Linked DNA regions of Pelodiscus sinensis. The main gene of each other region encodes a partner of the protein of the gene in region 2 in a complex. Links are inferred from orthologs where the notes say so. Each region holds a gene or a part of one and is shown on either strand. Other genes may lie near its edges. The genes, in order: SEH1L, NUP43 and NUP37.

Region 1 (10,640 bases), on a different chromosome or scaffold from region 2:
AGCAGGGACTCCGACCGCCACACACTGAGCTTGCGAGGAACAATCCCCGCCCTGGGCACCTTCCTACCAGCTCTGATGCGTCTCTTCCATTGCGTGGCCTCTGGGCAGCATCCCATCCAAGGGCCTCTGTGACCATGGCTGCTGCTGGAGGCTCCTGCCACACCTTGTTACCAGGGCCGCCTCTAGTTTTTTTGCCGGCCCAAACAAAAAAAATTTTGGCCACCTCCTCCCCTTTTTTGTTGGCTTTTACACATATTTGCACTTTGCAATTTTGTTGGTTTGTTTGTTTTTGACTGTTTAAAAATTAAAAAAAATTAAAACAGAAAATTTTTACTTAGTGAAATAAAACAATTTCCTACTAGTGTACTCATTTAATTTTAACAAAATCACAATTACAAATAATTTGGGTTCAACGATACACTGTAATGAAAAACGTTAGTGTCTTCCGGTGCACCCAGTTTCTCCTAAATTAAAAGAATTTATATGAACTGAATTTTTCTGGTTTTTATACTTGTGTAGCCTTTTAATAAGTCAGTAATATCTAAATTTTTTGCAATGGTACTTTCAACTGAAATTAATGCGAGTCCTGGCAAACGATTTTGAGACATGGTTGATCTCAAATAATTTTTTAGTAATTTCAATTTTGAGAAGCTGTACTCACCAGAAGCCACTGATACTGGTAATGTTAAAAGAATGCGTACTGCTATAGCAGTGTTTGGAGTGAAAAAATCATTTCTTGCTATAAATTCTAATACTTTTAGAGGAGAAGTTTTAGGACTTATTAGCTCAGATAAAGCTACTAATTCATCATACAATTCTACTCCATCACTGTCAGCATAGTTATCAGTACTGAGTGCTAAATGTAGGTCCTGGCAGTGCTTCATGAGATCTTCTTTAGAAAACTGATTTTTAATATTTCCAATATCGTATAAAAATTCAAAAGTTTCACAAAGACTATGCAACTGATCGAATCTTTCTTCATGAAGGGGGCTCAGACCCATTTCAGTGGCATTTAGGAATTAACAAACATTATCAGGAGTAAGGAATGGCTGCAATACGAGGAAAGATTAATAAGACTGGGGCTACGTCTACACTGGCCCCTTTTCCGGAAGGGGCATGTAAATTTCACCAGTCGTCGTAGGGAAATCCGCGGGGGATTTAAATATCCCCCGCGGCATTTAAATAAAAATGTCCGCCGCTTTTTTCCGGCTTTTAAAAAAGCCGGAAAAGAGCGTCTACACTGGCCCCGATCCTCCGGAAAAAGTGCCCTTTTCCGGAGGGTCTTATTCCTACTTATTCCTACATTTTATTTAAATGCCGCGGGGGATATTTAAATCCCCCGCGGATTTCCCTACGACGACTGGTGAAATTTACATGCCCCTTCCGGAAAAGGTGCCAGTGTAGACGTAGCCTGGGACTTTTCATCATGGAAAAGAGACAACTAAGAGTGTAGGGATAACATATTAATGTATTGAAAATGATTCCCCCAAATGGAAGTGACTCCCCATAATTTATTCCCCACAACTTAAAGTGTTTAGATTTATTATTAATTCTTCTTCTTCTTCTTCTTATTTGTTAAGATTGTTAAATGTTTAGATTTATTATTATTATTGCCCCTTTAGAATATAATGTATTAGGTCATGTAACTTAGAACTGTTAAGAATATAATCCTATATAGCCAGAAACAGCCCCCCCCCCCGTCCCCCCCCCCCCCCCCCCCCCCCGTCCCAGGGCATGCTCAAGCTTGTGCAAGGGAGCTGCTTGAAATTGACATTGCAGAGATACATTGGAACAATGCATTGTCAAGCCACTAACTCTGCTATGGAAGCCAAGCCCTGTAATTGACTAAGGGCATTGTTACATAATTGACGCCTGTTCTCTTTAAAACATTGTAACTTTACTCAGCACTCAGAGACTGTTTTAATCAATACCACCCAGAAACTTTTGTAACTACAACTTTTATTATTATACAAAATACTGTATAGGAAACATTAATTAGGGAATGTATGTAAGAGAGAGAGTGCTTGTATGATGAATGAATGGTTCTGAGAGGTGCCAGCCTGAGAATACAGCAACAAAGGGCTGAAGAAGGCATCAGGTGCCAGTGCAACCAAAAGGTGTCAAGTGGAGAAAACCAAGTACTGGAGGTCCACCCGATGAGATCACTGACGAGCACCTGGCAGCCACCCTGAAGACATCAGCATGATGCAGCAATTTCCATAGACTGGCATAGGAAGAAATTCCTATAAGAACTGGACTAAAAAACTATGGAATCAGAGTCCAAGGTTCTGCTGCCAGCCTACCAGGAGCTTCAGATACGCATCTGATCAGGACTTTGCTCCCCACTACCATCACTTGTGTACAGAATACCTGGCCAGTATTCTGTCACAAGCAACTCCCAGGCTGGTAACTATAACAAATACACAGAACCTGAATGAATGGATGAATGAATGTTTATATGTATAAGGGTTAAGTAGTTAAACAATGTTGTTTGCTTCTATCTTTTCTTTATTTTTTTATTATTATCTTTACAATAAATGTGGATTTTTGCCTTATCCCCCTCATAAGATCCTGCTTGCTTTTATTTGGTATTACAAGAGGGGGAAATGAAAGAGGTCTATAAAATCAAGACTGCTGTGGAGAAAGTTAATAAAGAACTTATTTACTTGTTCCCATGACACAAGAGCTAGAGGTCACCAAATGAAATGAATAGGTAGCAGGTTTAAAACCAACAAAGTATTTCTTTCCTTAATGCACCGTCAGCTTGTGGAACTACTAGCCAGAGGATGTTGTGAAGACTAGGACTTTAACAGAGTTCAAAATTGAGGTAGATAAGTTCATAAAGGAAAAGTCCATTAATGGCTATTAGCCAGGATGGGTAGGAATGGTGGCTCTAGCCTCTGTTTGTCAGAAGCTGGGAATGGGTGACAGGGGGTGGTTCACTTCATGATTACCTGTTCTGTTCATTCCCTGTGGAGCACCTGGGATTGGCCCCTGTCAAAAGACAGGATACTGGGCTAGATGGACATTTGAGTTGACCCAGTATAGTAATTATTATGGTCTTATATTAACTTTGAGGATTTGGATCTGGGGAGGAGGGGACAAAGATTTATCTCTTCATGTATACTTGCACCATGCTTAGTACAGCAGGGTCCTGATCTCAGTTGCAGCCTGAAATGAGGGCAATGTTCAAAGACTGGATATTCCCCTAGGGTAGAATGAAGAGCAAACAGGTCATAAGTTCACCTCCAGTCTGGCACCAGCTTGTCAGTGTGAACTGACACTTGGTCAAGCAGATCCGGCTTGAGCCATTCCTGTGCCCCGGGCAGCAGGCGCGTGACACATGCATGGCTCTGCCCCAGGTGCATGGCGCATGCGCGGCCCTGCCCCCTGGCGCGCTGCACACCTTACAGCTGCAATCGGGCACATGGCCCGGCTAGCCCCCCCCTTAATCCGGCCCTGACAGGCACCTCCAGATGCAGTACCAGCACCTCCAGTCAGAACTCAACAACTTTTCCCCTGGAGTACCGGCAACTTTTTTTTTTTTTTTAGAAAAAAAGCATTGCGTGAGAAAGGTTTCAGGAGTTTGCCACCTCCTCCTCTGTGGTGGGGAGTAGGGGAGTGTCTTCCTTCCTGGTAAAACTTAAAATAACAACAAATAGTCTGGTAGCATTTTAAAGACTAATAAAACATGTAGATGGTATCATGAGCTTTCGTGGGCACAGCCCGCTTCTTCAGATGACCAGCTTCCTGGTGTGAACCATAAAGCCTTAAAGAAGGTAAATTAAAAAAATCCAACTCTGCAGTATTGCTTTTTAACAGAGTCTTGGTCAACTTAATGTTAATTTGAATGTTTGTACAATTAACTGCTGTTAAGCTTGCTAGAATAAGTAATTTTTCCAGGTGTCCTGGATTCAGTACAGGGAAATCTGGACAACCTAGTAAGGGGCCACCAGTCCCTTTACATACAGACAATTACTGCAGAGTATAAAGCCTTTGGGAGCCAGGCCACTGAGATGAATGAGGTGAGTGAGGGAAGACTGAAAGAACTGGGCTTTTTTAGTTTAGAAAAGAGAAGACTGAGGCTACATCTAGACTACACAGTTTTTCTGTATCCTGGAAAAACTGTTCCGCATCCAGGGAACGTGTTTGATCTTCCGCTTTTTCTGCAGAAGAGCAAATGCACTCTTTCAGAAGCCCCGGTATTGCTCGTTCCACAAGGAATAAGGGGGCTTCCGAAAGAGGGTTTTCCCCCCAACATTTGGCCCAGTCTAGACGTGCCAAATGTCAGAAAAGCCTCTTCCAACAAAAGAATCAGAAAAAAGCTACACAAAATGCAGAGCTCATTTTGCGTAGCTTTTTCAAAAAAAAAAAAAAAAAAGCGGCAGTGTAGACCTAGACAAAAAAAACCCACAACAAATGGTCTGGTAGCACTTTATAGACAAACAAAACATGTCGATGGTATCATGAGCTTTTGTGGGCACAGCCCCCTTCTTCAGATAACCGGAGTTATGAGTGGGCTATGTCCACGAAAGCTCATGATACCATCGACATGTTTTGTTAGTCTATAAAATGCTACCAGACACTGGCGTGCATATGGGGTATGCCGGGTGTGTGCAGGCACACCCTAATGTCTTTAGTTGCCAGGTGTCCGGTTTTCTACCAGACAGTCTGGTTTTTTGGGGCTCTGTCCAGTAAAAAAAAATCCAGAAAATACCAGACATGGCTGGTATTTTCTGGTTTTCCGACTGGGCATCCGGAAGCCTGGTGGAGGGAGTGGCTGGGAGGCGGGGCGCGATCGGTGCTGGGAGCCTGGTTGCATGTGAGGAGGAGGGGCAGCCCGGTCTGCGTTCCTGCGCGCTGGTCAAGCGCGTGGTGGAGCCACAGCCGGACTGACTCGTGCTTCACCTGGACTGTGCAGGGGGCAGGAGCGCCCTGGGATCTGCACTTCCTGGGTCAGTCCTGCTCCCCACCCGCTGATATGTTCCTCCCCCCGCCCTGCTCCCTCCTGGCTGGCCAATTGGTTCTCCCTCACTTCTCCTCCCAATCTTCCCCTGCCAGCCCCGTTGCACCCGCCGCCAGCCCTGCTTCCAATGGCCAGTTCTCCCCTCTTCTTCTGATCTCTCCGGACCAGGCCCTCTGTACCCAACCCCCGCCCCCAGCTCTACCTCCTGCTGGCTGGTTCCTCCTCCCGATCTTCCCCGGCCAGCCCCGCTGCACCCATTTTAAAAAAATTAAGTTTAGTTGTTTAGTTTCTTTAGTTTGTTTGATGAATAAAAATAATGTCCTTTATGATTGAGTCTTCAATAAATGTTCGCCTTTAAAAGAAACAGAATTCCCTGGGCGCACACCCTAATGCAATGTGCTGCGCACACATGCCTATGCTACCAGATCATTTCTTGTTGTTTTTTCTGTAACAGACTAACTGGGCTCTCCCCTGCAGCTCCGAGACCTAGACAGTGCTTTGTCCTGCCATGCGGGCGGGGCTGGACTAGATGGTCTCTAAAGGTCCCTTCCAGTTCCATGGCCCTACGAGACCCTTTGGAAGGTCGCTTGGGCTGGAGGCGGCGCATCAGCCCCGAGAAGAGCCGCGCAGCAGGAGGCGGGGCCACTTGGCGCTCCCTTCAGAGTCTCCAGCGCTCGCGGCCGCAGCCACCCCCGCGCGGCGCGTGACGCCTGGGCTCGCCCCCTGGCGGAGCGCGAGGGAAGCGCCGCTGGCACGCACGCGCCGCCCGCTCTCCTGGAACGCCGGGCGGGCAGGCGGGCGGGCTCTGTCCCGGGCGGCGGCGGCGGCGGGGGAGCGAGGCGCGGCCCGGCCGGGGGATGTTCGTGGCGCGCAGCATCGCGGCCGATCACCGCGACCTCATCCACGATGTCTCCTTCGACTTCCACGGGCGGCGCATGGCGACCTGCTCCAGCGACCAGAGCGTCAAGGTGCGCGGGGCTGGGCGGCCCCTTCCCCGCCGGGACGCGCCTGCCCAGCCGCTCGCTGCCGGGGAGGGCCCGGGGAGGGCGGGCGGGGCTGCGATGTCCCGCGCCAGCCTGGGCTCGCCGGGGCGGGGTGACCCGCGCGTCCAGCCGAGCCGCGCGCCAGGCCCAGGCGGCGGGAATGTCTCCCGGGCCCCCGGCTGGGGCGCCGAGGAGCCACCGCGACTGGGCCGCCGCGCGTCCCCCGGTGCGGCGAGGAGATCGCCGCCGCCTTGGGCCGGGCCTGCTCGCCGAGCCTCGCTCTGGCCTCCCTGGGCAGCAAGTGCCCCCAGCGTGCGCGTGTTGCGCGTTTCCTGGCAGCCCCCTCAGCGCCGCGGGGCAGGGGCGGCAGCCAGCCAGCCTTTCCCCCCTGCCACGTGTGTCGGCGGCCTGCTGGCTAGCGAGCCCGCCGTCCTGTTCAAAGCCCTGCAGGGAGCAAGGGTGAGAGACTGCGGGCAAAAGAAACGTCGTGCTGGAGCACCTTACCGGAGACGCTGGAGTGTTACCTGGCAGGAGGATCAGAGTTGGATTATGTAATTTGCACATATTTAAAAATACTCTTTTCATATAGGGATGTCACAGTGTAGACAAGTGAATGGTAATCAATTATCCTGGGTTTAGTGGTTAAAATTGTCGACTACACCTATTTCCTCCCGATGCCTCTTAAGTCAGCTCCCCGTGACCACCAGATCTGCCTGCCCAGCACCCACATTGCCTTCTCTGATAGAGGCAGTAGTATGGGGGGAAGGGGCAGGTGGGAGCTAGTACACATGGGGAGCTTTCAAGCAGGCTCCCCATGCATATTGGCTCCTGCAGACTTGTCCCCCCCCCCCACCTCCCCCCGTGTGCCTCCTACAGTGGCAGTGGAGGGGAGGCAGGCAGGAGCTGGTGCTGCGGAGAGCTGGCTTAAAGCTGGTTCCATCCAGCACTAGCTCCCTGGTGCCCTCTCCTCCCCCACCCCCAGCCACTAGAGGCAGCAGGGGTGGGGGAGGCAGAGGAAGCTGACACGAAGCAGCCTCTGTCTTCAGTGGCCGAACTCTCTGCAGATAGAGGCGGCTCCATATCACACAGAGCAGCTGCAGTCTGCGGTAAGCCTGGATCTGCTGTGGACAGAGGGTGTTCTGAGAGAGCCATTTCTGTCTGCTGGGGGTCTTGAGTTCCCCACAGACAGACTGCTCTGCATCCCATGGAACAGCCTCTGTCCATGGGGAGCTCTGCTCCTTTGGGGACAGGGGCTGCAGCTGCTCCTTGCTGCTGCCTCTGACATAGAGGCAGCAGCATGAGGAGGCAGGAGCTTCCCCGAGAATGTGGCTGGGAGTGTATTGGCTTCGCCCGCCCACCCTCCCATGGTTTTCCAAATAGACCCCTGGGGACTCTCGAATAGTCCTGTAACCACTAAGATTTCATGTGGTTACATGGCTATTCAATTACACGATACCTAACATTTGTACTTTAATATTTAATTCGCTGTTTCCTCCCTCAGTGAGTATTAAAATCATGGCAAATTGGGAATATATAGTATTGGCTGCTTTTAAGTTATATGAAGCTAATTAAAGGCTGGTCAAAGTCTTGAAGTCATGTTTTTGTAGCTTTCCTTTTACTCAAAAATAACTGGATTAATTTATCTCAAACTTAAACAACTATGGTCTGAGAACAAGTTTGTAAAAATTATCCGTGAAGGTAATGTGCTTGGGAAGGTTATGGGTGACTGTTAAAGGGGGGGGGGGGAAGTATGCTTCAAAATAGAGCTTTAGTTCCAGTGTTCGTTGCCTGAACTCTATAATGTAACTTTGCATTAGAGATGCAAATGGTTACCTGGTAAGCATTCCTTAATGTGGGGGTGGGGAACCTTTTTTGGGTCTGGGGTCACTGAACCACAGAAAAATCAGTCAGGGAGAGGGGGGCTGCACACAATTGGGGAGGACACAAAAAAAACCCCACACTGATGTGGCCCCTGACTGAGAAGGAGAAAGATACTCCTTATGTTCCCCTCACACACCAGAGCCTAGAGGGGCCTAGCCTAATAGATTTTGTGTGCTCCAGCCCTGCAGTGAGGTAGCAGGGGTGGAGGAGGGGGGCTGGAGCACCAGCATCAGCTCCCAATGATGGGGGGTGGCGCTGAGCGGGGGGGGGGGGGGGGGGGCCTAGATCCAGTCAAGCCGAGGGCCGCATGTGGTCCTCAGGCCTGAAGTTCTCCACTCTTGCCTTAATGGGTGTCAGGGAGCTGCCTGAAGGGCTGGTGTGTGTGGCCAGGGTGGCGGGTGGGGGCAAGCGGGAGAGAATGGCAGCAGGATGGCTACTGGCTCCCAGCCCACCCAGGGTTGTGGGCTGTGAGTTGGCAGGTTCGTGGGGGAAGCGCTGCCAGCTCCTAGCCCTGTGTGCTGTCAGTGGGCAGGCTTGTGGGGGAAGAGGGTGCTGCCAGCCAGCAGTTCGACTCGAGCTGGGAGCCAGCAGTCTCATCTTTTCTCCCCCACCCCATCTTCTGTCCCATCTCCTTGCACGAGGCTGCCAGATCCCAGCCCATGGGAGCCTAGCGGCCTGGAACAGCCCCCACCCACACCCGTTTAATCAGTTAATCTGTCAAACTTAATGTCTAACCAGTTAACTAATTAAATGGGATTGTATATCCCTACTTTGCATTTTAAAAAGTACCTTTTTATCAGAGAACCTTGAAAAGATTTATATGTATAATGCCTCCCAGTGCTTCTATAAGTCTGTCTGCTCTATAAATAGAGTGTAAATCTAGGAAATGGTTTGTAACAGTGGTCCCCAATGCGGTGCTCGCTGGTGCCATGGCGCCTGCTGGGCCATTTCTGTGCGCCCACCCAGTGATTGGGGCCGATCCCACCCCCAGGTGCATGGGCAGTGCCAGCCCCTGGGTGCGCAGCGTATTGGCATCTCTGCCCCTGGGCGCACGGCACAGGAGTGGCGCCGGCCCCGGATGTGTGGTATATGGTCAGCCCCACCCCTGGGCGTGCGGCACAGGAGCGGCGCCAGCCCCAAGAGTGCGGCTCACGGGTGGCGCCAGCACTGGGCACGTGGCATATGGGTGGCCCCGTCCCCGGTTTTAGAGTGGCCCTGCCCCGGGCACTCGGCAGCCCCAAAAGGTTGGGGACCACTGGTTTGTAACATGGTTGTGCTCTAAACTGGTTATAATCAGGGTGAGTGGCAACATGATTTACGTAAGATAAAATGGTGAATGAGAGAGGGGGCCAGGAATAAATTCCAGATTCAGTGTACTTATTCCTCTGAACTAACCAGTAATGACCTCCAGATCTTATTTGACAACATGGTAAAGGTGGATAAGGATTATCTCACATTTTTGTCTGGGGGGCAACTGAGGCAAAGAGGTTGTGATATGTCTGAGATCATACTTAAGTCAGAGGAGCTGGAAGTAAGGAATTCAACCTTCAGCTTCATGTTCTTTTTATTATTTCACAGTAGCCTACAAAGGAGGGGGCATCAGTTACAATTTCGTATTAAAATTATTTATTAAAACTTGCTGGACTAGGTAGGTTTATAATCTCTCTCTATATATAAAAAATGTTTCCTGTGGGACTACAGAGGGATGTCAGCACGTCACTCTGTGTCCCGTCAGCCCTCCCCCACTCAGCTGCCGGGGGTCCTTCCTCCCTCCCCAGTGCTCCAGGGGGCAGGAGCCACGTGGCCTGCCTGGTGCTCTGGAGAGGCGGGAGGGGGTTGGTGAGCATAGCGAGCGGGGGGGGGGGGGGAGGCCACAGCCCCCTAGTGTATATAAATATTGTTTACAAACATCACTGCTTAAGAATTGAAAAATTATTCACATCAACAGTGTTAAGCTACAATTTTCAGCCACTGTAGTGGGAATGTTGTGATTTTACGATACAAAAGTTTTGTTTCCAATTGCACAGTTATCTTATTGCTTGGACACAATGGAACATTATGGATTTTTTCCCCTCCACAAAGTAGCTTTGCAGGAGTAACCTTTATAGTTGGTACACATGTAGGCAGTCATAATTTCACTTTTTAGTTATTGACTTTTACCTTGAGTATCAATGGGGTGAGAACACAACAGACTGTGAAACTAAGGATGCTAAAAGTTGAGTAATTGACTAATCATATAGTTCATACAATTTGGATTGACGACATGATTAGTTGATAAGGGGAGGTGCTCTGTCCCCACTCGGTGCCAGTCCGGGAGTTAACCCTTTGCAGCTCTGCAGTTTAAATTTAGTTGGAGCCAGGTATGCGTGAACAGCCCGGCTCCTAATACGCTTGAGCTGCAGTGGAGGTAGCTCCTGGACCAGTCAGAGCTGGACCACTGTGGCTCTGCATTTTAAGTGTAGTAAGAGCTGTGAGGCTGTTAGGGGAGGTTCCTGGCTTGCGCTGAGTTTGTGAGCTACCCTGGCTGCAGCTCTGCAGTTTAAATGTAGTAAGAGCTGTGAGGCTCTTACTACATTTAAACTGCAGAGCTGCAGCCAGGGTAGCTCACAAACTCAACGCAAGCCAGGAACCTCCCCTAACATCCCCCTTTCACCCTCCCCCGGTTTCTGCCTCTGATAGAGACAGCAGCAGAGGGGGGAAGGCTGCACCGCGGAGACAGGGCTGGGGGGGAGGTCTGACTTTTAAGCCGGCTCCCCCCAGCAATAGCTGCTGTATTTTCCCCCTTTGTTGCTTCTGTATCGGGGCAGAAG
Region 2 (10,176 bases):
TGACATTATGCATACTGCACAAACCCAGGAAAACCCAATTCCATTAAAACTTCAGCAAATACTGAACTACTAGAAGAATTTAGAACGCTTGCACCTTTTTAGCATTACTGAATATTGGTCTCAAGTATTTACATGGACTTCCCCTTCTAGCTTTGCTTTTGAAGATAGTAACTTCGTAGTCTATTTAATCAGAAGTAGAGATGCAATACCTACTTGAGCAAAATGCTACGTAAAATTCAATGTCCTTATTTATAATTAACTTATAATAGCAGTTAGCTCAGTTGCCCAATTACAGTTTTAATAAGCTCAACTTCTAGTCCATATTATTTAGTGAAATTTCAAAGCGAAATACACATTGAAGGCCTTTTTCTATAAAGAACCCCATCTTGAGACCATTCCAAAATATCCTCTCACTTCCCCACATCCACATCTCCTTTGTCCATACCAAAGAAGCATATGATGCTGGTTCACAGAGTGTCACTTAAGACAAGTTTCACAGACTAGCTCATACGCACAAATTTCCTTTAAAGAAAATCCTTCCTAGCACATCTTTTCTTTTTAACACATATTCTGTCCCTTCATTAAAAAGGCCAGGGAAATATTTTTTTTAAGATCCCCTGTTGTGCAGTAGATTTTAATACAAATATTGTCACACTAGGGGATGCTCCCTGCTTACTCAGCTCACCAACTCCTTGCTCTCTGGTCATGAAAACCCCGCTTGCTATGCTCGCCAATCCCCCACTTTCATGGCCAGAGAGCCTGATGACATCATCCTGTCATGTGGCAGGAAAAGCTTTTGTTTTTGTTTTTTGAGAGAGAGCGAGAGAGAGAGAGAGAGAGAGAGAGTATAGCACTCTGACTGCTTAGCATATGTTGAACATATCAGCTAAACAGAAAATCCTCCACCCTCCCCCGATTAGGAATGGAATGGTAAATAATCCTATATTGCAGCTGCTTTTTAACAGTAAGATTATTAAGTAGGCAGAATGTGCACGGAATTTATATGCACCAATATGGACATGTTGTGTCACACATCATTTCTGTATTGGAGAACACAAAATGCATTCCGTACACGGACCATAAAACATTAGAAGGAACATTGCCTGAGAAGTAAAGAAAAGTTACCTAACCTCTTCCTACACACATGTATCTGAAAATCTGTTAGATATTTAAGTGAGGGACTGATCCAGTATTATTATTACAGAAAAATTAGAGAAAAAATATTTTTCAGTTTACTTCATATATTTCACCTCTTATGAGGATTGTTTCTTCTGTACAAATAAGGGTGTCCCACAAACAGAGAAAACCGCAGAACCACAAAAAAATTGCAAGAGAACTGAAGGACCAATGTAATACCAGAAGCTAACAAAACAAAATTACAAAAATTGGAATTTGTCCAGAACAAAGAAAAACCATCTCTGAAAGAAGAATGGGTTCATACTGACCACTTATGGTCAAGATCTTGATAATTATGTTTCAAAAGGAAATATTTTTAAATATATTTTAAAGAACTGACAAATAATGCAAGACTGCAGAAGCTGGGAAAAAAGCATGCGTGCAGGTAGTTCTAAGCCTGAATTTTTTGCATTGATTAAATGCAGTGTAAAATAGCAAATATTCTAGATCCAGTGTATTGCTCATTACAGATTCTATTGAGACATTCAGAACAATTCTGAAGTTACTAGCTATTTCTTTTTTTGTTGGTCATTTTGTGAGTACAGATAAATTCTTTAGACCCCATTTGTTAAAAAGTGGTTATTAGCCTTACCTATAGTTCTCACAGCCTCCTTGTGGTCAGCTCTGAAAAGATTTATTCGACCATCTTCTCCAACAGTGACAATTTCTGGATTGTTGCAGATGACCCCTGTACATGAAGCTCCACCACAGAAAGGGATATCCGGATCCACATGATAATGAGCCCTCTCCCATCGTTGATTAATAGATAAAGTCTAAGCAGTAAATAAAGAGACTGTATCAACAGTGCTAATTAACAATCCTGCAACAGCGTTAGAAACCAAAGCTTTTGAAATATGTAAAGAAGTTAGATCAGAAACTAGTTCTGAAATAAACAAAGCACACTGCATTATTTCAAGAGTCATTCACATCATTACAGATCAGAGGATAGCTTTCCTTTTTAATCACCAATGCATAGAGTCCTGTGCAGATAGACATTTCTATCAGCAGATGTGAATATCCATGGACAGACACAGTGATCTTTCAGTGCTCTATTCTTAAGAGTCAGTGTGACCAATAGACAGGAACATTATCTCACAGTGTTAAAAAGGGGTAACTGGGTAATTGTGTAACTGTTGATACAGAGCCATCAGTGTGGAGTGACAGCTAGCTCCCCGGGAGCAAGGCAGGAGTCTGCGTGTAATCATTAATGGTAATCGATAGTCCAGGCCTATCAGTTAACCATGTAAACAATTATACAGTTACATCCCTATATCAGACTATTCTACACATTTTTTAAAAAATAACCTAATTCCTGATTTACTGAATTTAGAACTTATTGAGTTTAGAGATATTAAATGTTGATTAATCAACTAATCAAGTAGCTGATGGAGTTCCCATCAACTGCTCAATTAGTCGATAACAGGGGGCACTTGCAATCCCGCTGCGCCTCTCCCTTTAAATGTAGAAGAGCCGCAAGTGGCTCTTGTACATTTCAGAGAGGCATGCAACAGTAGGGATGCCTCTGCCTCCCCTGCTACTCCGTGGAGACAGTGCTGGGGCCATCTGGCTTTAGGAGGGGGGAGAAGCAACTAGTCGAGTGACTACTTGACTATCTGATAAGCTTATGTATATCGGGTAGTTGACTAGTCACTTATATCCCTAATTGAGTTCAGCTGCGTTATGTTTTGATAGTTCTGAAAAGTCATGCATTTGAGAGCCCCAAAAAAACTTGTACTAGAAGCAACAGTAACTGAAACCAAGAGAAAGTTATGTCCACAACAAATTATTTACCTGATTATTTTGATGGTGACGGAAAATTGTTACACTTCCTGTTGATGAAGCAACTACAATTCTCTCCTGGTCAAAAAACTAAAGAGAAATATCTTAAGCTTGTTACACAGTTTGAGCACATTATCACAGAAGCATTACTATGTGAATCTGTGAGTCTTACTGGTTGCTAGATAATTTCAGAATGTACATATAAATTTCCAAACATAATTTTTTTGTATTTAGACAATATCCCCCTAGCAGACATTAGTTGATTCTCAATATTCTGATATCCTACTGATACATTTTCTAACAAAGTGAAAGGAAAAAAAAAAAACAGCTACTGGATATAACTATTTTACCTGCATGTCCATAACATCACCATGGTGTCTGATATCGCACAGCAACTGTGGTTCTCCTTGATACTCCCCACTGGTGCCCACATTTCCAAAGTCTCCAACAGACCAAATTGAGATCTTGTTTTCCTGTATGACAAGAGTAGTGAAACAAGCTTATTTTAAGACACACTTGCCATAAAAGTCAGTTGAGACAAGATGGCAGAGGTAGAATGTTGTGCTACAAAAATATTGTCAGAAAGAAAAGCTGGTCCAATAAAATATATTACTTCATTCATGTCTAATAGCCTGAGACCAACAAAGCTACAGCTACAATAGAAACAATAAGTCAACTCAATTTTCTCTCTTCCTAAAGAGACTAACAAACTATTACATTTTGATAGAGATAGATTAAATATACAAGAAAATTAATATTCCATATTTGGTGTGTATTTACACAGCATATTAATCTCGAAAAATGCTAAGCATTAATAAAATCTACATCACCAAATGCAGCCAGTTCCAAGGAGGAGAGAGCCAGTCCACACCACACACGGAAGAGGAGGAAATTTTGGTCATTAAGCCAGGCAAACGAAACACACACAGAGACTGTGCAGCAAGGAGCTTCAGCCTTCACGATGAGAAACTAGGAGCTTAGCTGTTAAGATCTCACACAATTAGCTACATAGCGCTCAGCTTATTTAACTGAGAAAGCTGAAAGCCCGTGTACCACCGGTAGGATATGAAAATACAGAAAACCACGCCAACCCCGTGGCAGGGAGGAGGGAGGCGGCTCCGGGCACCGCTCAGAGAAGAGGGGTCCGGGGCACCGCTGCAACACGAGGCGCAGCAAGGGGCAAACGCGGCCTCGCCCGGCACCCCCCGCTGATGACACTTGTTACAAACGCGCCGCCCCCCACAAACGCTGAGCAGCGGCCCACCCGGGAGCCCCTGGCAGCGCGGAGCGAGACGCGCTCTAATAACGGCTCGAGCCCACGGGCAGGGGCGCGACAGCAGCGCGGGGGCGGATTTAGAGGCTCCACGGGCCGGTACCTCGTTGTCCCAGGAGCCGGTAGCGAAGAGCTCGGGGGGCTGCAGGGCGGCAGCGGGCACCGGCCGCCAGCGCGTCTTACTGATCTTCTGGGACACGAATTTGGCGGAAAAATCCTCCATGCTGGCGGCGGCAACGAAAGGGACAAGCGCCACCGAGAAGCACAAACTTCGTCCGCAGCCCCGATAGGCTCCCGCTGCCGTCACCCCGCCTCTTCCGCCCAAGCTCTCCCCGATTGGCTGAAGCCTCCCGGCAGACGGCAAGAGAGGAGGTACAAATCTCTGTGGCAGCAACTACGCTCAGAGGTGGGCGGGACATGACGGGAGTAAATGGAACCTTGCCTGGGGCGGGGACTGCACTGTACGCCTGCCTGTTTCCTAGGCCAGCTTCGTGCTCATAGGTCATTTTGCATTTAACCCATATGGTTCCTCCAAACCCTAAGGCTGTGTCTACAGTGGCATGATCTTGCACCAAAGCACACACTTTTGCATAAATACATGCTGCCTGTCCACACTGGTGGGGAGTTCTTGTGCTAGAACACTGAGTTCTAATGTGTGAACTCAGTGCTTCTTGTGCAAGAACTATGATGCTCTTGCTCAGGAATAAGCCCTCTTGTGCAACTGTTCTTGCGCAAGAGGCCCGTGTAGACAGGCAACATGAATTTCTTGCGCAAGAAAGCCCTATGGTTAAAATGGCCATCAGAGCTTTCTTGAACAAGAGAGCGTCTACGCTGGCACGGATGCTTTTGCGCAAAAGCACATCTCTTGCGCAAAGGCACATGCCAGTGTAGACGCTCTCTTGCACAAATGCTTTTAACGCAAGAACTCTTGCATTAAAGAGTATTTCTGCAAGATCATGCCAATGTAGACACAGCCTAACAGAGCTTCACAAAAATCTCAAACAGGATCCTGCTGACCACATTTACGGTGTAGCATGCCAACTCTGGACCTGCAGATTAGCCATTAATACCACAGGTGAAAGTGGACTAGTACCGTATACTACTAAGAAAGTAACCACCTGTTGGGATTTGTACTTAGCTGACATTGATGCTTTTAGGTCTATTACTGACATAGTAGGGAGGGGGGAGATGAGATGGTGGGAGCAAAAAAAAGCAACTACCCTAGAGCCCAAGCAAAATACAGGACTATGTAGCACTTTAAAGACTAACAAGATGGTCTTTAAAGTGCTACATAGTCCTGTATTTTGCTTCAGCTACACCAGACTAATATGGCTACATTTCTATTACTACCCTAGAGCCCAGAAATTTAAAAGGGCCAGGTGTCCTTTGAGGATGAGAATTGAGAGGTCAGAAATAGAGCGATCACTGAAGTGTTCAACCAGAGGTGATAAGGCATTTTTGTATTTTATCATTTTCCTGTGTGAGTTTGAGAGCATAATGTTTGTATGTTTTGAGTCACATAGTTCATTCACTGGATGAGGTATATCGTATGTTGTAATAGGCATATGTAGGATCCCTATATCTTGAAAGATGTGTTGTGTGGAAAGTTGATCACTGTAGTAGTAGAGATATGTGTCTAGGTTTTGCAGCTGTAATTCTGGCAGGCTCTGGTGCCACTTTGAGCTGATATTTACAAAAACAATGAGAAATCCTGTGGCACTTTAAAGACAAACAGATTTATTTGGGCATAAGCTTTTATGGGCAAAAACACTCTGCCCAAATAAATCTGTTAATCTTTAAGATGCCACCGGACTTCTTATTGATTTTAAGTTGGTGTGTCCTAGTGTAGGGGGAGCTTATTTTTTATGATGATCTCAGAAAGGTTGGGAAGTTGTTTGAAGGCCAGGAGTGGAAGTTCTGGAAATATAGCTTTTAGGATGGAGGTCCCCCATTGAGTATGGGTTGTAATTGTCTGAAGATACCAGGTATGGGTTCCAAGGTGAGGTGGTAGGTATTGGTCACTGTAGCAGTGGAGATATGTCAACAACATGTACTCCCCTCTTTTTGTCCTATAACTGCAGAGCAGTTAACAGGCCACTCTGCCTTGAATTATACTTTATTTTGTGACACTGACAGACCAGTCAGTCTGTTTACGACCCGTAAGAACTTAACAGAAGACACTAGTGTCAAATAGATGTATTCGACTAGCAATAATCAATTCATTTATTTATAGTAACAGAAATCAAAGGTAGGGCATTCATCTGTATTTACATGTATATCTTGTCAGAAGTTTAACAATATAAACAAATTAGCTTGTAGATACTATTTTGCAAGCTAGCAGTTCATTCCATCACTGCTCTGATCCTGAATGATGAACTTTGGAAGTCACTTGTCTGTATATTGATCTTCTAATCACTTGTATTTCTCTTCTTTCTTTTTCCTTTAATGATTAAATCTATTTTTAGAACCTTTAGTTTGGTGCAGCTGCACCACTGTTAGGTCTGTAGCATATCCATAGCCCTGACTCATAGCTCAGTCTAATGTTAATTTGGTATTTCCTAATTTTGCAGTTAATTTAATGTAGATTTTTGTAGGCCATTTAAAAGCAGAAATCCTATGTTGCCCTAGGGTTGGATGGAGTTTTAAACTATACTCCCTAATGTTATCTAAATTAAATATCTTAAAGGAATGAGTTGATATGTTGCTAGATGCAATCACTCTCATAGCCCCCACATTTCCACTCCACAGTTCACCGTTGTCACTTTCCCAGTTCCCAATTTAGGGAGTCTGTTGTCATTTTGGGGGCGAATTTAACTGCTTGGAACAAGGGCTATAAGCCTTAATTAAATGTCAAACCAGTATAAATTCTCAGACAAAAAGTACGTTAAGATGCAGTAAAGGCTGGGAACATGCATTGGTAACTTAAGAGAAGAAAAAAAATTAGAAGACCTGTAATAATCACAAAAACAAGCATTATAAACTCTTGAAATTCAGAGAAACCCAAACATGTTAAAATACAAAAATGCAATGTAGGCACCCAACCAACCTTTACTCGGCCCTGTAATGACAGCATGCAATAATCATATAGTTATGATGGTATTTGAATGTCTGATGTCCCAGACGAGATTAAATTAACTTCTGTTGAAACCTTAATTTGTTTTCTTTTACATATTTTCCCCCTTGTGGTATCACTACAAAACAGCCTTAAAGTTCTTTTCTGAAAATTTCCTTAGTTTTTTTTAATCATATATAAACACTAAACTTTCTATTGACAAGTAATACTGGTTACTCTAATACATAATTTACAATTGAATTACAATGAAAAATGTGTTATCTGGCACTATGCTAACTGGAAAACTTTAACTGCCCCCAGCAACAATACCACTTCAGGCACGTGCACCTGACTCCTGCCTGTCCAGCCAGCCGTTGCAGGGCTTCTGACAACCTGCGCTGCCAACTGACATCATCAGCAGGTGCCTCCTTCCCTCTCAGCCTGCCTCAAGCTGTCAGGAGCTAGATGTGTCAGTGGGGCAGGGTGATACATTTTGTTATCCGGCATATTCACACTGGCAACCCGCATTCTCCACATGTGCTGGATAACAAAGCTTTCACTGTACTTGCTTAGAGGTCTGTGTTAGTGACATCTATGTTATGTAAAGGGAGAGCCTATTCCTTGAGGCCCATTGTATGTGTGTGCACTTTAAGATGTCCCGAATGCACCTGCCTCAGTTGTTGTGCAGACAAGATAGCAATGCCATGTGAAGTCTTTCAAGTACTGATATCTAAGCTAGCATGCAGCCATAGAATCTTTAAAGGTCAGTGACAAGTGGACCAAGTAGTCTAGCAATGAGATACAGGCAGTCCCCGACTTACGTCGGATCCGCAGTTACGAACGAGGCTGCCCCGAGTACACGGACTGCGGGACCTTGCGGTCCTGCCGCCCGTGTACTCTGGGGCTTTCTCTGCGTCTCCCTGGTCTGCAGACCAGGAAGACGCAGAGCAAAGCCGCGGAGGGGCTCGGGCAGCGGGGCAGCCCAGGCACGCCTGGGATGCCCTGCTGGCCGAGCCCCCCCGCCCCGCGGCTATGCAAAGCCTCGGGGAAGCTGGCAGCGGACTTGGGGACGCTTGCGGTTCTTAAGTTGATTCTGTATGTAAGTCAGAACTGGCAGTCAGTTTCAGCAGCGGCTGAATCTGGACGCCAGTTCCGACTTACATACAGATTCAACTTAAGAACAAACCTACAGTCCCTATCTTGTACGTAACCGGGGACTGCCTGTACTCTGTCATGTATTTAACTGTCCTCAAAACACTGACTCATTACAATCAATAGAATGACACAGATTAGCTGTACAGCAAGGGTGGGCAATAATTTTTGATGGGGAGGCCACTTCAAAATTTTAGTAAGTAATCAAGGGTTGCACTTTTCTATAGAGGGGGTGCGGTTCTGGGATGGAAATTGAGTGCAGAAGGAAACTTGGGGCAGGAGACTGGGATGTAAAAGGTCTGGGGTCTGAGAGGGAATTTGGGAGGAGGGGGTTGTGACCTGGGGCAAGGGATTGGGGTGCAGGATCTGGGAGGGGGTATGGATGCAGGTCAGGTTTCTGGCTAGGGAAGGGCGTAGGAGAGGGTGCAGGTTCTGGGAAGGAATTGTAACCTGGGGTGAGAGACAGGAGGGTGTAGAGCATTTGGTGACCTGGTGCAGGATTCTGGCCTGAAGGACAAGTGTAGGAAAGGGTGCAGAATCCGGGAGGGAATTGGAACGTGGATGGAGGTGGGGTGCCTATGCAGCTCCCAGCCAGCAGCACTTTCAGGCAGGGATACAGCCCCTGACCACTCAAAGCTCCATGTGGCTCTATGCGCTGCAGAGGGAAGCTTCATGTGCTGCCCCCCAGCAAATCAGTTTCCAGCCAATCGGAGCAGAGAAATGTTGCTGGAGGCAGAGGCAACATGAGAAGCCTCCTTCTCCCTTTCCTACTCCTGCAGTGCAGAGAGCCAGAGGGAGCAATCAGCTGCATTGAGCAGAGGTGTTCCGTATCACGGGGTGGGCCACAGGCCACATTAAAAGGTTTTGTGGTTTTATCCAGCCTGCAGGCCATATCTTGCCAGTTCCTGCTATATAATCATAGTAATTACACAGCAATCAATAATGTCCCAAGGTACACATTTGCCCCCTAGGCATGGTACATATAATACTGACCTACAAGCATATATAACTTTTGCATTCTTGGACTCCACCGAGACTTAGTTTTATCCGGTTTTTTCAAGGACACTGCAGAAAATGATCATGTTTGTCACTCATCTACTGCCAGGATGGAAGTCACAGAAAAAGCTGTAAACTCCACCTTCGCTGTCACAGTCCATTTAATAACTATGGGCCAGCCCCAGAACCACAGCACTTCTGCACATTCTGGAGGAGCCTGGCATTAGGTTCAAACTTCACATCTCTGCCCTTGCCTGTATAACAGATTGGCCTGAACAAAGCCCCAAATGTCAAACACTCCAGTCTTTGCTGGAGTGAAGAGTGGGGTTGTACCCGCTGCTCCCCCCTAACCCCGACTGCCTGTCCCAGCCTCTCCCTATGCAGGCCTCACACATCCTCCCGTGCAGTGAATACGTGAGCAGCAGCTAAAATCACGAGGCAGCGAGAACGCTGCGACACCTCCTCCCGACGCCCCCCTCAGCGAAGCTATTCAACCCCCTCCCCATGGCGTTCCCTTGCCCTTCTACGGGTGCGCATGCGCAGAGCAAGCGGGTGGCGGCCGTTGAGAATGTCGGGCGCGCGGGGCGGTGGGCGCGCGGCCCCTCCCCCTGGCGGGCGCGCGGCTGGAGGAGAGGAGGCGGCGCCTGGGTCGGCGCTAGAGGTTGTGTCGTTCCTAGGCAAGCTCTTGTGCGCAGTCGCGGCGCTGAAGGCGGCTCTGTACCTGCTCCGCAGAGTGTGTCTGGCCATG
Region 3 (10,154 bases), on a different chromosome or scaffold from region 2:
TTTGATAAAAACATACTAACCTGAAATCTGCAAGTTCCAATAACTACATAATTATTGCCACCATATGCAATTAGGGAACCTATGTCTCCACTATCAAATGGATTGAATTCTACCACATGCACATAATCCTCACAATCCACAGTGTAGGTAGCATTTCGAGAAGAGTCTTGCTTCATCTTCAACAATAAAAATCAAGTTAGCACTGAGGTAACTTCTTTGGTAGGACAAAGATCTATATATCAAAACAAACATATACATATAGAATCTGCCACAGTAGTGTATCAAAACACAACATTCATTTTTCAGTATATACTAGGGGTATGAAAGGGTAACCAGTTTACCTGTAGGCATCACCCTTCGTAGGTGATGCTTACCGGACACTGGTTAACCAGTATCTGGGAGCAGTCCCATGGGAGTCAGGAGCTGCCCTTCCCCCTCCTCCCCCACTGCACAGGGAGTAGGAGACAAAGCAAGATGTGCACGGCTGCTGACTCCTGATGCTGGTCCCCCATGCAAGGGAGCTGGCAGCGGGAGTCAGGCACCTTGTGCATGGGGGAGAGGGGAGTATGGGAGCAGAAGCCATCTCCCCCCCACCCCATGGCTGCTGGCTTCTGCTGCTGGCCCCCCACAGGAGGAAGGGGACAGCAGCAGTCTGCTTAATCAGTTAATCTTAATGTTTAACTGATTAATTGGGATTTTACATCTCTAGTACCAAGTTTTAACACTCTCTCCACTTCCACCCCTCAATAAATCAATATTCAGTAAAGATACTCCTTCAATATAAAGCTCTAAAACCAGATGAAACAATATTTCCAACAAATTTGTTGAGTACAGGCAGTCCCCGGGTTACGTACAAGATAGGGACTGTAGGTTTGTTCTTAAGTTGAATCTGTATGTAAGTCGGAACTGGTGTCCAGATTCAGACACTGCTGAAACTGACCGCCAGTTCTGACTTACATACAGAATCAACTTAAGAACCCCAGGCATCCCCAAATCAGCTGCTGCTGAAACTGATCAGCAGCTGATTCCAGGAAGCCCGGGGCAGAGCAACTCTGCCTGGGGCTTCCTGTAGTCAGCGCTGGTCAGTTTCAGCAGAAGCTGACTTGGGGACGCCTGGGGCAGAGCAGCTGGGGTGCTGCTGGGTTGCTCCAGTAGCGCCACTCCTGGGTGCTAATGGACCAACCTAGCAGCACCCCATCTGCTCTGCCCCAGGCGTCCTGATTCAGCCGCTGCTGAAACTGACCAGCAGCGGCTGAATCAGGACCTGGGGCAGAGCAGCTGGGGTGCTGCCGGGGTGGTCCAGTAGTGCCCAGAGCGGGCGCTGCAGGACCAATCGGCAGCACCCCAGCTGCTCTGCCCCAGAGTCCAAAACAAAAGCCTGGTCTGCTGGGGGGGAGGGGGAGCACACTAGCTGCCCCCCCCCCCAGCAGACCAGGGACACGGGGAGCAAAGCCTCAGAGGCGCGGGGAACCGCCGCTGCTGCCGCTTCAATCTGGGTGCCTGTGGTCTGCTGGGGACCATCCCCAGCAGACCACAGGCTCCCGGACTGAAGCCGCAGCCGCGGGGGGGTCCCGCGCCTCTGAGGCTTTGCCAGAGCAAAGCCTCAGAGGCGCGGGAACCCGCCCGGTGCCCCTGGTCTGCTGGAGACGGTCTCCAGCAGACCAGGGGCACCGGAGCAGCTTATGAACGGGGCTTTCTCGCCCCGACTTCCGGGGCGAGAAAGCCCCGTTTGTAAGTGCGGATCCGACGTAAGTCGGGGACTGCCTGTATTACCAATTCAGATCTGCTGTAAAACTAGTGGTTACATGTAGTTTGAGACAGTTTTCTTTATCCAGTCCACTAGCATTCAACAGTTTACACTGATGTGGAGGAATCCTCACATTTCCAATATATTCAAATCCCTAAGCAAAGTATATATATGAATTTTAGAGATCTCAGGGAGTTTTTCATGTGAGTAAAGGACAAAAATCTTCCCTGCCCCACTCTAGTGCAGAGGATAACTACATTTTAGTGGTGCTACTTAATTTTATAAGCACACTTGGCTTAAAGATACTCCAAAAATGCAAAATAAATGTCAGAAAACAGAACTGTAAGGCTTATTCTATACTATGAAATAAGGCTGATGCAAGTTGTCTTGTGTCAATGTTATCTACGCATGTGTCTAGATTTGTCTCTGATGGACAAATGCACATTATTAATCCAGACATAGTCAGTTGGCCTTCTGAGCTCCTCTCTGCTTTCAGTGAGGAAAAAGGCAAATGATGGATGCACTTCTCACAGTTCCTTGGAATAAGGCAGTGGTCACCAACCAGTAGATCAGGATCTACTGGCAGATCTTGGAACCTTTGACAGGTGATCCTGAGAGGTTTGGCCAGAAGGCTATCAAGTGCTGACACTTCCTCTGCCCCTCTCAGCACTGCTGGGTTGCTCTTGCCCTCTGCCTTGAAGGTGCTCCTCACCTCTGGGAGTCTCCTGCTTGCTGTGCAGGGCATGGAAAGAAGAAGGGGGACTGCTGATGTTAGGGTGCCCCTCCCCCCACCCTGTACTCCCATCTCAACAGAGCAGAGGGGGGCAGAAATGGAGAGTTTGCTGGCTGCTTTTGGAAGTGGTGCAGGGCCAGGGCAGGATGTGAGCCTGCCTTAGTCCCTTTTACCACCACCCAGAAGCCATCTGTGGTAAGCAGTGCCCAGTTGGAGCTTGCATTCTGAACCCTAGCCTCTGTCCTGAACCCCTCCTGTACCCCAAACCCCTGTCCCCAGCCTCAGGAGTGGCTTGAGGCTGGCTGCGGCAGCTGGTGTCCCAGGCAGGCGGCATAATTGGCGCCCCGCCTGTACAGCCTTTAATGGCTGTGATGTCATCACAGGGCACCCGGGCCAGCGGTGCTCTAGGCAACTGCCTAGGTCACCTAGGCTCACGGGCCGCCCCTGCCCAGCCTGATAAAAGTGAGTGAGGATGGGGGAGGGAGGATGGAGTGAGCAGGGCCTCAGAGAAGGGACAGAAAGGAAGCAGGGCGAAGGTGTTTGAGGTAGATCCTGGACTGCATTTAAATTCAAAAAGTGATCTCATGCTTAAAAGGTTAGAGATCATTGGTATAAGACCTATTAGAGCGCTGAACTCAAGTACAAATAAATATCTAGCAAGTTAGGAGAGCAAACAAATTGATAAGGAAAAAAGATTCAAAGGACTGAGTTAAAACAAGTGGAGTTGTCATTCGTTAAGAGAAAAAATTATGAATAATTTTTGGCTCAGTTTCTTTGGTCACGAAGGATGTGAAAATATAACTGTGTACACAGTTAACTGATGAGGCAGGCTCATGGATTAATCTTCATGGTTTCACACAGGCTCCCAGTATGCTTCAGCTCCATGGGAGCGGACTGCTGCTCTGTGCGTAATGACTGAAAATTTCATACATTTACTTAAACACATTTTAACATCCCTATTGGTCACCTGTACATTAGTATCCTATGAAGATTTCAAATGTTATAACCCAGTAGAGTGGGAACTCATCTCTTTGGGGGAAGAAATGTCGGGAAAGCTTCATCAATGTTGCTAAGTTGTGATTTTATGATGAACCTTGCCCTATTTGCAGAAACAAGGATAAATCCTGTGGCACCTTATAGATTAACAGATTTATTGGAGCATTAGCTTTCGCGGGCGAAGACCCACTTTGTCCGTGAATTGGGTCTTCGCCCACGAAAGCTTATGCTCCAATAAAAGCTTATGCTCCAATAAATCTGTTAGTCTATAAGGTGCCACAGGACTTCTCCTTGTTTTTGCGGATTCACACTAACACAGCCACCCCTCTGATACTTGCCCTATTTAGCATTCTTCAGGTCCCAGCTCCTGGAGTCAAACATCTCATCTAAAGAAAGTCTCTGTTAGCTGCAGAGGAAAACACTTGAGAACCGAATGTATCCAGGAGACTCCAAACCCACTGGGCGAATTGAGCCCTCCCCACCCAACACACATCTCCCGAAAACGAGGGGCCCGACCCACGAGGGGTTAACGTTTGGGGCTGGCAGCAAAGCATTATTCCGCTGGGAGCGCGCCCTGGCAACACGGCGCAGGCAGGCAGGGAAGGAAGGACAAGCCCGCAGCACCCAGGGCACAGCTGGGAAAGGGACGGAGCGTGGCGGGGACCAGAGAAGAAGCGGAGACGGGGGGGGGGCGGGGGGCTGAGGGAGAACAAGGGCTGCAGCCCAGAGAGCCCCGGACAGGGTAGACTCTCCAAGGGGCCCCTCCCACAACGGGAGCGAAGGCCTGGACACCAGCGGGTGATCGCCGGCCGCGCCAAACGACATACGCGCGCGCCGCCACCTACGCACATGGATGGCTCCCTACCGCCTGCCACTTTCTCTCCCGCGAAGAGTTTGTAGGCAGCTCACGGCCACTTCCGCCCCCCGGGCACTTTCCGTTTCCGGGTCAGAGGCAACTCCTCCCCCCAACTTTGATTGGACAGCTGGGGTAGATTTAAATTTAAACCGCCGCCAGCGGCCCGGTGCGTGCGACTAGGTAACCAGGCAACCAACCACTCCTCCTCCCTCCCACCCCCCCCCCTTCGTTCGGGACCTGCCGAGCTGTCCCAGCCGCACAGGTAACTCACCCGCTGTTTGGTGGCCGCCAGGGGGGTCCATGAAAGGTCCATGAAAGGGCGGGGTGTCCCCAGGACTGGAGTCTCCCGTGGCCTGGGTCGTTCCCCAGCAGGTGCTGCCCCCGTCCGACTAGGACGGCGGCCGTGACCGCTGCCCCGGGCCGCGTCTCTGCGCAGACTCTGGCGTTAGAGGTTCGTGGGGCCAGCCCTCCAGGATTGCCCGGGAGCCTCCCGGAATTACGTCACGCCATGGGACGAAATCTCCAGGAATCCGGCGAGCCAGCGTTGGCAACCCAGCCTCCTTCCTGATTGGGGCTCACTCGCCTGGGGGGGGGGGGGGCTATGACAAGATGATGCCAAGGGACGGCACTATATGGCAAGGAGCCCCCTGTGGCCTCCTCACCCCTCCTAGGACTGTGTCAGTTTTTAGTCATGTCCCGTTCCCGTCTCCTTCCCAGAGCTGGATTTCCAGGTAGGGAGAGGACAGAGGCATGTGCCTAGTGGTGCAGGTGTGCGGGTGCCTACCATTTAAAAGAGGGTTAAAAGTTTCAGTTTTTACAGGAAACATGAAGGTGTAGCATTGTTTGGAAGACTGTGGGTCGGATTGGTCCCATTGTCTTAAAAAGTAAACTAGACTGGGGTGGAGGAACCTAAGACTTGGGGTCCAGATGTGGTCTATGCCTTGCCTGGATCTGGCCCACAACACTGGGGAACCTGGGCTGGTGCTCCAGCCCCCTGCCAACACCCTGCAGGGCTGGAGCACATAAAATGTAGTAGCCCAGGCTCCCCATGAAGGGTTGTGGTTTTTTTGAACATTCAATGAAATTAAAAGGTAACAAATTCAAAACTGAGAGAAGGAAATAGTTTTTACATAATGTCTGTCTATATATAACATGTTTTTTCCTGTGGGACAACAGAACAATATCTGCATCTACAGGCTCTGCCCTCGCACGAGCTACCTGCCCTGGATGCTGTTGAGGGACTGGCAAAGCTGCCTGGCCTGGGCAGATTCTGCTTCCCAGTGGTCCTGCCCACTCAGGTCTGGCTGCAGTCTTTCAGGCAGCCTATTCCCCAGCCCAGGGGCTGCTTTGGCTGGTGCGAGGCCCAGGGCTCAGCCCACTCATGACAGAAGCAGAGGAAGGATCCCACACTCTGGGGCACCACAACTTACTCTAAGGCTGTTTGCTTGCACCACTACTGTTCTTGATGCTCATGGGCTGCTGGTCCAGCAGGCTCAGGACAAGCACCAGGCACAGGGCAAGATGTCCTCCATTCCCAGTTGCCCACTGCCCCATCCTCCTCTGTGCCCTGAGTGGCCACATCCTGAGCCCAGGGCCTAGCTGCCCTGGTGAGATCCAAGCCCAGCCTGTCTCCCAAGATCAGACTGGCTTCCTCCTGCCCAGCCACATGCGAGGCTGCAGCAATGAGTGGCACTTCTGCAATGTAGATGAGGGAGGTGCCTGGCAGCACTTACCTGAGAGGCCTGGGCCCCCTTTGCCTGGCGCTGTAGCCTCTCCCTCCCTCCTCCCCCCTGCAGTTGAAGCACCAGTGCTGACTTCCCACTGTGGGGGGTGGGGTGGATGGAGAGAGAGCCCTGAGCCTTGCTGCATGGAGAAGCGCTCCCTCACCTAGGCTGGGAGGACAGCAACGTGCCAGCTCGCTGTCTGGAGACTTTCCCTGCACTCCCATTGGCCAGATTCTGGCTAATAGGAGCAGCGAGAGGCTGAACTTCTGACTGGCATGGGCCTGACGACAAGTAAGTGCCCCAACTTCCTTATGCTGAGACCCTGCACCCCCAGCCCACTCATTCACCAGCTCCCTGCCTAGTCCCTGCATCCCCAACCCACTCCTGTCCCCTCCCAGGTGTACTGCACCATTCCCCTCTGGCCAAACACCCTGTCCTCTTCCCTGTTCCTGTCCCCCTCCTCCCTGGCCAGATCAACCTGGTCCTGCCCCCTCCCCTCTGACAAGACACTCTGTCTCCACCCCTGCTCCTGCCTCTTCCCCCATGGCCAGACACCCTACCCCCAGCTGGTTCCTCCACACTCCCTTGCTCCTGCACCCTCCTTCCTGGCCAGATTCCCTACCTGGCCCCAGGCTGCTCCTACACACTTCCTCCCACCCAGACCTTGCACCCTCAGCCCCTCCTCACCCTGCTTCCTGCCGAGATCCTGCTCCTCCATCCCTATTTCACTCACTGGCAGCCCTGTCCCACACACTGAACGCCTCATTTTTGGCCCCACTCCAGAGCCTAAGGGGTTCAAATCCTCAGTCCTCCTCTCCCTCTCCTTCTCACCTCCCCTCCCCCATGGGGCTGGAGCTCCAGGGGAGTGAGGAGTTTCAGTTGTGGGCCACATCAGTGAGGGTTCAGAGGCAATGCAGGGTCTGCGATGGAGTTTGGGTGCAGGAGGGTGTTATGACCAGTTGGATACAGGAAGGGACATGAGTTACAGGCTCTGGCCAGGAGGTGTTTATCATAGGCGGCTCTCAGCCAGTGGCCTACGGGGGAGCACTCAGGCAGGCTGGCTGCCTGCCTTCTGCAGCCCCTCAGGCCACTCAGAGTGGCCCGCTGCTAGGGCAAATATGTCTCTGCATGCCCCTTGGAGAGTGGGGACAACAAGTCTCTGTGAGCTGTTTGTTCCCGCAAGCACCACTCATGCGTCTCCCACTGGCCTGTTTCCAGCCAATGGAAGCTGGGAGGATGATGCTGGGGGCAAGGGCAGTATGCAGAGACCCACTGCCCCATGCCATCAAGGGATGCACACATACAGATGTGCTTGCCCCAGCAACCGGCTGCTTTGAGCAGCTTGTGGGACTGTGGCAGGCATTAACAGCTCAGAGGATCATGGCAGATTGAATCTAAGTGTTTGGTGGGACAAATCTGGCCTGCAAGCTGTATTTTGCCCACCCCAATGTGGAGGAAGTAATCATAGCAATTGCCTAGCATTAAAGAGAACGGAGACAAATTGACAAATATGGGATGCTGTGTCCCCAAATTGTTACTTAGAAAATTATGGTTTTAAAATTGCATTTATTTGTATGGACTTAAGTCATTCTCTCTGTGTTCCACTTCAGGAATATGGCCGTCTTTCAGCAAAAGATCTTAAATATGATCAAGTGTTTTAGAAGACAGTGGTGCTTGTTTTCTGATTCAGAAAGGACTACTGTTTGTGGTGCAGACTACATGATGATGGCTTTACAGTTATCAATGGCTGAAGTCAATAAACAGGTTTGTACTCTGTCAATGGAAGCGGCTGGGTGATTAGCACTTTTGAAAATCAGACTAAACATAACAGGCATTAATAAGCTTTAGGAGCTTTAACTTAAGGCACACATTTTAAAATATTAGTTTTAAAATTTTAAAATGTTAGCTTTCTGATTTTTTTGTTTGTTTTGTATGCGTAATTTTTCATCTTCAGTATTACAATGATATTTCTGCGATTTGCTTTTTTCATGTAATTTCTCAGTCACTCCCTTTTCCTTCAGTGTTCCTTCTAGCCACTAGGGGGTAGATTCACAAAAGAGCTCACTGTAGTAATGCTGAGCATTGCCTGTCCTAACATTCAGATGCCTAAAAAATCACTGGTATTCACAAAGCTTGAGTTTGATGCCACTGTACAATGAATGGGGAGAAAGAGGCAACTCAGAATGGGATTCACAAAGTCAGCATGCTAGGTGATTCGTTGCTTGAGGCGCCAAGATGAGCAGTGCGTACTAAGCCCTGTTCCTCTCTTTACAGTACTTAGGAATTCTCAGGGGAAAAACCTTTTTAGCATTAAGTGATTCTGCTGTTTTACTAAGAAGCTGGAGTGAGGAGGGGAGAAGGAGGACCTCCCTCATAACTTCTGGCCTGTGATTAGGTGACTCACCTGGGATAGAGGAGAAATGCCCCTCAGTTCAAGTATCTCTCCGCTGTAGATTAAATAATGAAATAATTCAAACATGAGTAAGTCTAGCCTGGAAGTGAGAGCACCCACCCAGTAGGTAAGAGACCCAGGATCCAGTCCCCCTGCTCTAATAACTTTTAAACATTATTTATACATACTGGAACAGCTTCAACAGGAAAGACGGAGGGAGCTTCACATCCGAATATCCTGTAGCATCCCAGTGGTTAGGGCACTTCACCTCAGAGGTTGTAGATCCTTGTTCATAACCATTTTCTCCTTGAGGCAGAGGGAGGACTTATCCTGGGTTATGAAAGATTGCCCCTAATTGAATATTTAATTGCTGATCTTACAAGTTCTAAAGGTAATCCTTTCTACCATCCACCACAACCTTTTTGTGACTTCACCTATGGAGACCTAATCTGTTTGGTGAGTTCTGAATACCTGTTTTCCCCTCAGTTTGTGTATTGGGCCATGTCTGCTCTACAAAATTAAGTCAACTTAAGTTAGGTTGACCTATAGCAACTGCAGTAATTAAATTGGTTCTTTGTGCCCCACATTAAACACCTTCTGTTGGCAGTTTTCATATTCAGAAGAAGCACTTGTACCAATTTAAGTGAGGCTCTGACAGCTGGAGTCCCACCATCAGAGGGGTAGTGGGATTTGGGCTGTAAAGGCAGCAATAGGCAATATAAGAAATGTAGCGTCTATACTGACACTGTATCAACTCTACTACATCAACCTAAGTGTGCTACACCTTTTGAAGTGCTGAACTTAGTAGATCAGTGCAGTGGGCAACTTACAATGATGGGAACAATATAGTCGTGGAGATGCTTACAGAATTAAGTTGATATAAGATGCTTTGGGGCTTAAGCATCAGTGGTGCATGTTTCTAGAGCCCTGTGTGGATACAAAATTTATATCCACAAAAATGTGCCATGGATATCTGCATCCATACCGGCAGATGCGGATACCCATGGATATAAAGTGGATATCTGCAGATTTATAGGGCTCTATGTATTTTCCAGTTAGCTGCCTTTTTGTGCCTTCTGCTCTTGGAGAAGAGTGAGTCATTTTGCTTGAGGCCCTCTTCTGTTTGTCTCTTCACCACTTCTCATGAAGCCCCAGATTCGATTTCACTGGAGAGGTCAGATGTTTGCTACTACTATGGCTAGGACTTTACCTAGAATGATGATGTACTGGCTTAGTTCCTTATAGATCAGTCTGACCAGGGAGTGTCACTGATGCTGAATGAAAGATTAAAGCAGTTTCCCCTCTAAAGGATGAAACAAAAGACAGGACTATGCAGCACTTTAAAGACTAACAAGATGGTTTATTAGGTGATGAACTTTCTTGGGCCAGACCCACTTCCTCAGATCAAATTGTGGAAGAAAATTGGCATGACCATATATACCCGTGGTCCCCAACACGGTGCCCGCGGGTGCCATGGCGCCCGCAGGGGCATTTCAGTGTGCCCGCCAGGTGCTCGGGGCTGGCCTGGCCCCAGGCACATGGCGCACGGGCGCTTGGCGGGGAGAGCGCCGGGCACTCGGCGGGAGGGGGGGGGAGCGCCGGCTCCGGGCGCGCGGCACTCAGCGGGGGGGGGGGGGGGGGAGCGCCGGCTCCAGGCGCGCGGCACTCGGCGGGAGAGGGGCAGGGAGCGCCGGCCCCGGGCGCGT

Evidence for each region.
Region 1: NUP43 (region 2) and SEH1L share a complex: the UniProt entries of both Homo sapiens proteins name them as parts of the nup107-160 subcomplex of the nuclear pore complex. The link is inferred for Pelodiscus sinensis from reciprocal best matches to the Homo sapiens genes NUP43 and SEH1L.
Region 3: NUP43 (region 2) and NUP37 share a complex: the UniProt entries of both Homo sapiens proteins name them as parts of the nup107-160 subcomplex of the nuclear pore complex. The link is inferred for Pelodiscus sinensis from reciprocal best matches to the Homo sapiens genes NUP43 and NUP37.

The regions. Positions count from the first base shown.
Region 1 is NC_134712.1:87,660,462-87,671,101, forward strand, and holds the start of SEH1L (nucleoporin SEH1), read left to right. Parts: upstream 1-5,666; 5' UTR 5,667-5,823; coding exon 5,824-5,934; intron 5,935-10,640. UniProt on the Homo sapiens protein: Component of the Nup107-160 subcomplex of the nuclear pore complex (NPC). The Nup107-160 subcomplex is required for the assembly of a functional NPC.
Region 2 is NC_134713.1:106,457,525-106,467,700, forward strand, and holds the start of NUP43 (nucleoporin Nup43), read right to left. Parts: upstream 4,560-10,176; 5' UTR 4,452-4,559; coding exon 4,332-4,451; intron 3,429-4,331; coding exon 3,306-3,428; intron 3,046-3,305; coding exon 2,968-3,045; intron 1,950-2,967; coding exon 1,769-1,949; intron 1-1,768. Other genes in the region: PCMT1 (protein-L-isoaspartate(D-aspartate) O-methyltransferase), read left to right, coding at 9,997-10,176. UniProt on the Homo sapiens protein: Component of the Nup107-160 subcomplex of the nuclear pore complex (NPC). The Nup107-160 subcomplex is required for the assembly of a functional NPC.
Region 3 is NC_134711.1:99,497,385-99,507,538, reverse strand, and holds the start of NUP37 (nucleoporin Nup37), read right to left. Parts: upstream 4,756-10,154; 5' UTR 4,646-4,755; coding exon 4,604-4,645; intron 4,595-4,603; exon of another isoform or gene 4,537-4,594; intron 4,483-4,536; exon of another isoform or gene 4,326-4,482; intron 3,883-4,325; exon of another isoform or gene 3,827-3,882; coding exon of another isoform or gene 3,815-3,826; intron 233-3,814; exon of another isoform or gene 177-232; coding exon 21-176; intron 1-20. Other genes in the region: PARPBP (PCNA-interacting partner), read left to right, coding at 4,942-5,063, 7,667-7,820. UniProt on the Homo sapiens protein: Component of the Nup107-160 subcomplex of the nuclear pore complex (NPC). The Nup107-160 subcomplex is required for the assembly of a functional NPC.